Tribolium castaneum: one gene and its partner. The protein of the gene in region 1 purifies or fractionates together with the protein of each later gene. This does not show direct contact. Links are inferred from orthologs where the notes say so. Each region holds a gene or a part of one and is shown on either strand. Other genes may lie near its edges.

Region 1 (4,578 bases):
GTATTTTTTAAGACGGGCGACATTTTTTACAGATTTTTATCACAAAATAACATTTAAACAATACTTGTTCTCAGATGACGCAAGAAATAACCATTTTTTACAACTACTTAATACTGGTAATTAATTTATTCATTTTAATTATAATAAATTGTAGAAAAATGCACAGGCATTAGGAAAAACACAAAGTATTTTATAGTAAACGCTAAATTCTGAGTGATTATTAGTTTTTGAAATATTATAGTTAAAATCAAGTTAAAATAAAAAAAGAATGTATAGTATTTATTTACTCTTCGACACTTCGACATTGTCAAAATTTATGGTTTTTCTCTGTAAGAAAATTTTGACAACTGTTTGGCATTTCTCAATACGAAATGTCAGATTATTTTTAACAGATTTTAAGCAATTGTAAGTCTTGTTGAGTCTAATTCGAAGAATAAAATGTTGTATTCAACTCATTTTCGTGTAAATCGGTTGATTTATTTCACCTCGTAGAAGATAAACCACCCGTTTTCACTCGTAAATTAAAGCGTCCGATTTACACTCAAACTCGTTAAATAAATAAATATTAGTTTTACACCAAAAAATCGTAATTCGAAAACTTGCCCCTAGCTCAGAATGGTTTACTACGGTAACACGTGCTAATACTCAGCGCGAATAACATACATACTGCTAAAATTAACATTTAGTTAAACATCGTTTTTATTTAATTTTTTAGACATTTAAAATTTTACGGTCTTAAAAAAATAGGAAGCAAAAAACAAATATATAAGGTGTTCCGTTTATTTTTTTAAGTTATTTAACCATTAATGTGTCGTGATTGTAAACCCCAGCGTGTTAGGAAATGGTTTAGCAAAAATTTAAAGGTAGATAGAAAATGGCAAAACAAATCGATTAATCAAAATAAATCTAAATCAAAAATGCATAGTTTTCCCAAAAAAAAAACGTTCTGAAATTAAAGTCCCAAACTTTGAGAACCGCTGAACCAGATATATAAAACTTAAATAAATTTTGATATTATTGTCAAAACAGCAGAGGTAAATTAACTTCTTGGTCCACTACGTTATTCTTCAATTTCAATTTGTGTTTTGTTATTAAATTTTACAAAAAAAAAACAAACATTTTTTGTCAGGACCAGGATTCAAACCCCCACACAAATAAACATGTTAAAGCCATAATTTTGAAAAATTCTTAAAACGGCCACGCGCCATCACCTCCATTTTGCTTAATGTAAAAATTAACTACTAAACCATACAGTGGTCCTCAATAAGTAGATTAAGAAAAATTTCTGAAAAATGTACGCACTTTTTGAAAAAATAATATAAAGGTTCTTAACTCGTCTTATCATGACAAATTCGCATAGGAAATATTACTAAGCTATTCCCTAACACCCTGTATAGCTGAGGATACATGTTCATGCCAAAACGTTCTGTACATATATTAATGTAAATTCAGTTTTTTTTTTTTAATAAGTACGAATCTGGGTCTTAAGTTTTCTCTTTAGTGGAAATTTTGTTTCTTTTTTAACCTTAGTTTTGTGTATAATACATTTTCAAAATATTAATCAATAAAAGTTTAGGTCTAAATCAACAGTATTAAAAGCTACCTCCAAAAATGCAATAATAGTTATTTATTTAACGAGTTTGGCTGTAAATCGGACGCTTTATTTCATGAGTGGAATATTAAACGCAACAGCGCACTTACATTTTTTGGAGTCAAATAGGTTACAAATTAAATCTGTTTCCTTGTGATTCTATGTTAAAATTTAGTGACAACAGAACTCCCTAATTAAAAGAGAAAATCAACTGCGAAAAGTAACAGTTATTTTTAAAGTTTTGAAACAGATATTAAGATGTTTCATTTAAAAAAATAAGTGTGTATTGTAACTGATTTCTGAAACGTTTTGTAAAATAGAAAAGATACGTTTCTGTACTATTCTGGGTAAAATTCTATTCCACGTTTTTTGACTTAAAATCAGTTCTTTTAAAATTCTTGAAACCCAAAACCTGGACTTTAATAATTGTGCAAGATTTTACCTAGTCGTACTGCAGCAGGACAGTTTGGATTGGTCCTCAAAGCTTTCTTGTAAAAAGCCAAAGCCCCTCGGAAATCCTTTTTATTGTACGCAATGCAAGCTTTCCCCAACAATGACGGTATATTATTAGGTGACTGATTCAAAACGAAATTAAACTGCGCATCCGCTTGTTCCATCTTATCGCCTTCAAGGAGGCAAAAATAGGCCCTTCCCAAAAGATGGTTCTACAATTATTTGTACTCACAAGTGTGAATTAGCTACAATTTGTGACTTACTTGGTCGTACATAATAATTTTATCAGCTGTGGTGTACAGAAGAGTTGCTTTAGTAAACAACTCTCGTTTTTTGTCCTTATTTTTCTCCCTGTTGGCTTCTTGTACATAATATGCGGCAAGCATATCAAGGGCTCGCATTTGATCCTTTTCATAGTCTCGGTAATCGACATTGGCATCAGTTCGTGAAGCTTCAAGTATTTTAATAAAATCTTCAATTTTACCTTGTTTGTAATACTCCAGCTGTTGGAGAAACACAATCATTAATATTAATATTATGCACACAACATTGAAAAACATACCGCAAGATTAACCCATATAAACAACTGGGTATTTTCTTGTCGTAAAATACCCAAAACTTCGTCTCCATCAGGCAACTGATCAGAGTCAAGCTCTATAACCTATAAAAACCAACACTTTATTTTTGGAATAAAATATTGAAAAACGAACCTCATCCGTGTCACGGAGAGGAATTTCGATTGTTGTAGTCATTTTGAAGAGTTTGTTAACACTTCACGTCACATATATTTCATGAAAAGGGCATTTTTCACTAAAAATCGGAAATTGAAAATTGGATGATGCACAAGCCACAAACTGTTAAAATAAACTAACTGGTAGGCAACCAACATTGCACGTAACTGTAGGAGAAAACTGCAAAATTGTAGTTTGTGGCGGTCTCTCGTGGGAGTGTTATAAACAAATAAAATTTAAAATCAATCAATTTCAAAACCCCAGAAAAAGTAGGAATTAAAATAATAGCAAAAGCTTTACTTTTTTTAAACAAATACAAAAATAAATTATTTTATTGCATATTTTTATATAATTTTTTAATAATTTAAAAAATACAAGAAAAACATATTTAAACTAGATATTTATTTACGAGTGAAGTTTATGTTTAACGAGCTGTTTGTTAAGCGAAAGCTTTATTCTGCGAATGTAAAACATTTTCTTTTTCTATAGTAGATGTTAAACTACGGACTGTTTATAAAAGAGAGTAGGATCTCAGGTGGTTTTGGAACTTGAATTTGTACTAATTTTTATTTACCCCGGCAGATCAATTTTTTATATACTAACACAATTCGTTTTTTTTTTGGAAAGAAGCAGTAAACTTTTTTAATACTCATACCTACAACGATCATACATTTATAGACAGATTGTATCTGTTTATCTTTCGAGTAGATAAAATAGCACTTTAACCACATTCTAACTAAAGTTTGCAACAGCTTTTCTCTCTTAAACTTAAAGTTTTCACTGCTATAGAAAAGATAATACTATAATATTTTTTTATACAAGCTAATTAAAAAAACATTTGTAATTTTTATTTTTATTTTTTTATGCAAAAACCAAATGAACTAGTTTAAGTTTCAAGTAATCCTTTAGGCATTTTTTTTTAAACTTAAATCTATCTCATCTTTTCCATAATAATTTTAGTTTTTCTGAGCTGCATATTTGATATTTGAATTTAAAAAATTTTTTTCCTAATTACAACGATAATATGATCGAATCTTACATGTAGATAAGAAAAAAGCGTTTGAAAGTGCTTTGAAAGAAAACACCAAAAATTGTGTATAACAAACTAAATTTTAACAGTTCTTTTAAATATGCGAGCAAAATTTTAATAACTTTGTCTTATTTTGTAAAGAATAAACTTTTAGCTTATCATGTTATTTAGTTTTTAAATAAGTAGACTTTGCCGAACTGTAATAACCTTCCAAACCTCGAAAATTTAGTTTGTTTAAAAACGAAATAATTGGGGTTTTTTTCAAGGCACTCTTCGCAAAAGTGTTTTTTTTCCATTTTGATCAACGTGTAAAATTTGATTATATCATGTGATACACCGTTGTAATAAAAAATAAAAACACTTTTCAAAAATACAAAAAGCCAATATGGCTTTCACAAGAAAAAAAAAGTTAAGTATTGTAACTCTGACATAAAGAACGCCTTGGAAAATACGATGACAAATTTAGCTTCCTTGTAAAAAGATGCCTCAAGAACATCTTAGTTAAAAACATTTAGCTCTTTTGATTTGCGCTTAAAAAATAAAAACAACAATTACGATTAGCTGTTTCAAAATTACAAAAACGCCAACGTCGCTTTTTTCTCAAAATTAGCTGTTATAAATTATTCATGCACTTCAAAAAATAACAGCTAATGTAATTTATACTTTCAATAACTATTTTACAAATTTATCATTATTTTCTTTAAAAAAATTTGTAAAATGCGACGTTGGCGTTTTTATGCGCAGTTTTGAAACAGCTAATACTGTGCGAAAAT
Region 2 (3,256 bases), on another chromosome or scaffold:
AGAAAGTGAAAATTTTTTTTTTAAAACTCGTATTTTTTTGAAATTGAGATCCCTCTAGAGTAGTTAAAAGTCCACAAAAAGTCCATTTGATCGATTTTTTGATGTTTGATTTTTTCAATTTTCGTCGCAAATTTTGTCGATTTTGGGTACCCGGAACATTTCTCGAGCAATAGCTCCGGAACTATCAGAGAAAACCCCATGAAGTGTATTATCGTTAGAAAGCTCTTTAAATCATCTATTTTTTCAAAAAAAATCACAGTTCTCCGACTAATAGTTTTCGAGAAAATTGCAAATAAAAGCAAAAATTGGCCACATTTTAAAAAATTCATAACTAAAAAACTACTGGCAAGGATTAAAAATAGCCAAGGTAACAGCAGTCACACCAACCTATATTTCTAGGGGGTTTGGCCACCGCATCCACATATGCCAGCTTGGTCATCCTGACCGGAAGCGACTTATCTTGCGCTTGTTTTATATTCGCTGTCAATGCTTTAAGTTTGGCGTCTCTCTCATCCAAACATCTCAGGTACATTTCGCGCCACGTCTCCAACTCCTCTCTCTTTTTATTTCTAAAGTCCTTCTGACAATGCAACTGCCACAACTCGTCTGTGTCTTCGATAAGATACGGGTTATGGTGTTCCATTAAATAAAGTTGATTCGGGTTGGCTTTTTCCAAAATCGGCTTAAGGACGTTGTAAGGAACTCCCCCAGTGTACTCCAGAGCATCGATATTATCCTGAAGGACTCGAATACACAGATCGAACAGCGAGGCCACTTTCCCGCAGCCCATTTTATTGCCAGAATAGACTTTCGTCCTTTGGTTTTTCGAGGTGATAATGCTTGTGAGCGCCTCCGATTCGGACATGAATTTTTTGTGGTGGCTGTCCGAAGGGAGCAAGTTGCCGAGGGGGCGGTAGTTGGGGGTGATTGGAGGCAGTAGGCTTGAAATGTTGAGATCTATGGGGTCCAGGGTCGGTTCTTTAAGGAGTTTGGGGACCTGTGAAGAAGAGGTTCATCTAAACATCACTACGATCATTTAGTTTTATGTGTATATTGCAAAAAAAACTCGTACAAAATCAAAATGAAAAACAACTCTTCTGTTCTTTTTGACCCATAACAAAAAATAAATAAATAATAATAATAAATTGAGACTTCCTCCCAGTTTTTAGAACCCAAAAATAATTCGGATGGATTCCTGGATCTGCAATATCAAAATATTTGGTATAAACAGAACATAAAAAATAAAAAATACGTAATTAATTTTAAATAATAAAAGAGTGTAGGAAAATTCTGAAAAAATTCATGTAGGCACAGAAAAAAATTAAGTATTTAAGCAATAAATTTATAAAAATAGTTTAATTAAATAACGGTTAGCCCAAAGCGAATAAAAAAATACAGACAGATAAAGCACCAAATTTTCAATAATTGGAGATAAAAATAGTGCAAAAATTATATCTTAAACTATATTTAAAAAAATTTCAAAGTTTTACCAATTTGCACTCTGCCCCATATTTTTCAAAACGCTGCGAATACGGTTACAGATACAAGAAAAATGTTCAGAGGAAAGTTGTAGAGAATTAAATTTCCTTTAAAAAAGTCCGCGAGACCATATCCCTATCTTCAACCATTTAGGCCCCAAAGTCATTCAAAGACGCTCAAGCGATGGATTTCCATCATTTTGCCGGTGGTCAAGTATTGGAAAATAAATTTATACCCAAACCGTTGAAGATAGACATATCGTGTCGCGGACTTTTTTGTAGGAAATTTAATTCTCTACAACTTTGTTCCTTACACTTTTTTTGTATCTTCAACCGTATTCGCTGCGTTTGCAAAAAGAACGCAATAATTCTAAGCGATAATTTTTGGGCACCGTCGCCTATTTATCAAAACGCTGCGAATACGGTTAAAGTTACAAAAAATTGAAAGGAACGACGTTGTAGAGAATTAAATTTGCTACAAAAAAGTCCGCGACACCATATTTCTATCTTCAACGGTTTGGCTATAAATTCACTTTCCAATACTTGACCACCGGCAAAATGACGCAAATCAGTCGCTTGAGCATCTTTGAACGTTTTTAGGGCCTAAACCGTTGAAGATAAAAATATGGTCTCGCTGACTTTTTTAAAGGAAATTAAATTCTCTACAACTTTCTTCTGAACATTTTTCTTGTATCTTTAACCGTATTCGCAGCGTTTTGAAAAATACGGACCGGAGCGCAAATTTTAAATCTTAAATAATTTTTTTCTCATGTTTCTCAATAAATTTCAGTCCTCACTTTTTCCCAGTCTGTTGAGAATGCAAAGCTCAACATTTCTGCATTTTTCCCCAGTAATTAGTAAACTGGTTGAATTTAAATTAATTTAAAACGATTTGACACCGAGACGGGATGACGCTCGAGGCGCCCTCATTTTTACACCGCCGTACTACATCTTTGGGAGCGATTTTGTATCTCGTTTCGTCTCCTAACTTATAGTCTTTCGTAGTCAGACCTTGATATTGCAAGATATTCTACTAAAAATTGTCAATAATAATTAATCCAGGAAAAACAAAGAGGAATTTTAAAACTGTTCAGTTTCAGTTATAAGTGTTTGTCACCGAATTAAAATAGTAAAATATTCTCAAACAAGTATCAGATTACGAAAATTACGTCTGTTTCATTCTGATACTGATAACGAAACTTTTAGTCATAAACTAGATAGGTACACATTCCTTACGTTTCTAAAAAGTGTGTTGTTTTTGTCATTTTTTTCAAAAACTTAATAAAAATTACCGTCTGGTCCGTTGACTTTTCCTTCTTCTTCTCCACTTTCTCCACCTTCTCCACTTTCTTCTTCGCACTATTCTTACTCGACGAAGGCTCACACATGCCCAAAGCCTCCGCAAAACTAGCCCCCGATCCCGAATCAATCCCATTAACCAAATTCCCATTCAACTTCTTCGAACTTTTGGTCTTCTTCTCATCACTTTTCTCCCTCTTCTCATCCTTAATCTTCTTATCCTTGCTCTTCCTGTCGTCCTTCTTTGATTTATGTCTACCACTGTCTTTCTTCTCTTCAAAATCGGGGGCCGCAGCTTTGGCTTTCTTCGCCGCCTTGTGTCTTCGTTCTTCGTCACGTTTGCTGCTTTTCTGGCGCTCTTCCTCCTTCTTGGGGCGCTTTCGCGCCGTTTCTTCCTCACTACTCGACTCCTCGCTTTTGCGTTTGTGTGCCTTTTTCTCGTGCCCGTTGTGGCGATGTCTCCGCGACGTTTCGGACCC

The links.
Region 2: the proteins of Ctr9 (region 1) and EloA purify together in Homo sapiens (affinity purification with mass spectrometry; 4 studies listed by BioGRID and IntAct, with this or other methods). This does not show direct contact. The link is inferred for Tribolium castaneum from reciprocal best matches to the Homo sapiens genes CTR9 and ELOA.

The regions. Positions count from the first base shown.
Region 1 is NC_087397.1:22,580,014-22,584,591, reverse strand, and holds the start of Ctr9 (RNA polymerase-associated protein CTR9 homolog), read right to left. Parts: upstream 2,912-4,578; 5' UTR 2,797-2,911; coding exon 2,755-2,796; intron 2,706-2,754; coding exon 2,607-2,705; intron 2,548-2,606; coding exon 2,308-2,547; intron 2,257-2,307; coding exon 2,034-2,256; intron 1-2,033. UniProt on the Homo sapiens protein: Component of the PAF1 complex (PAF1C) which has multiple functions during transcription by RNA polymerase II and is implicated in regulation of development and maintenance of embryonic stem cell pluripotency.
Region 2 is NC_087400.1:1,640,491-1,643,746, reverse strand, and holds part of EloA (transcription elongation factor B polypeptide 3), read right to left. Parts: coding exon 2,771-3,256; intron 998-2,770; coding exon 388-997; intron 1-387. UniProt on the Homo sapiens protein: SIII, also known as elongin, is a general transcription elongation factor that increases the RNA polymerase II transcription elongation past template-encoded arresting sites.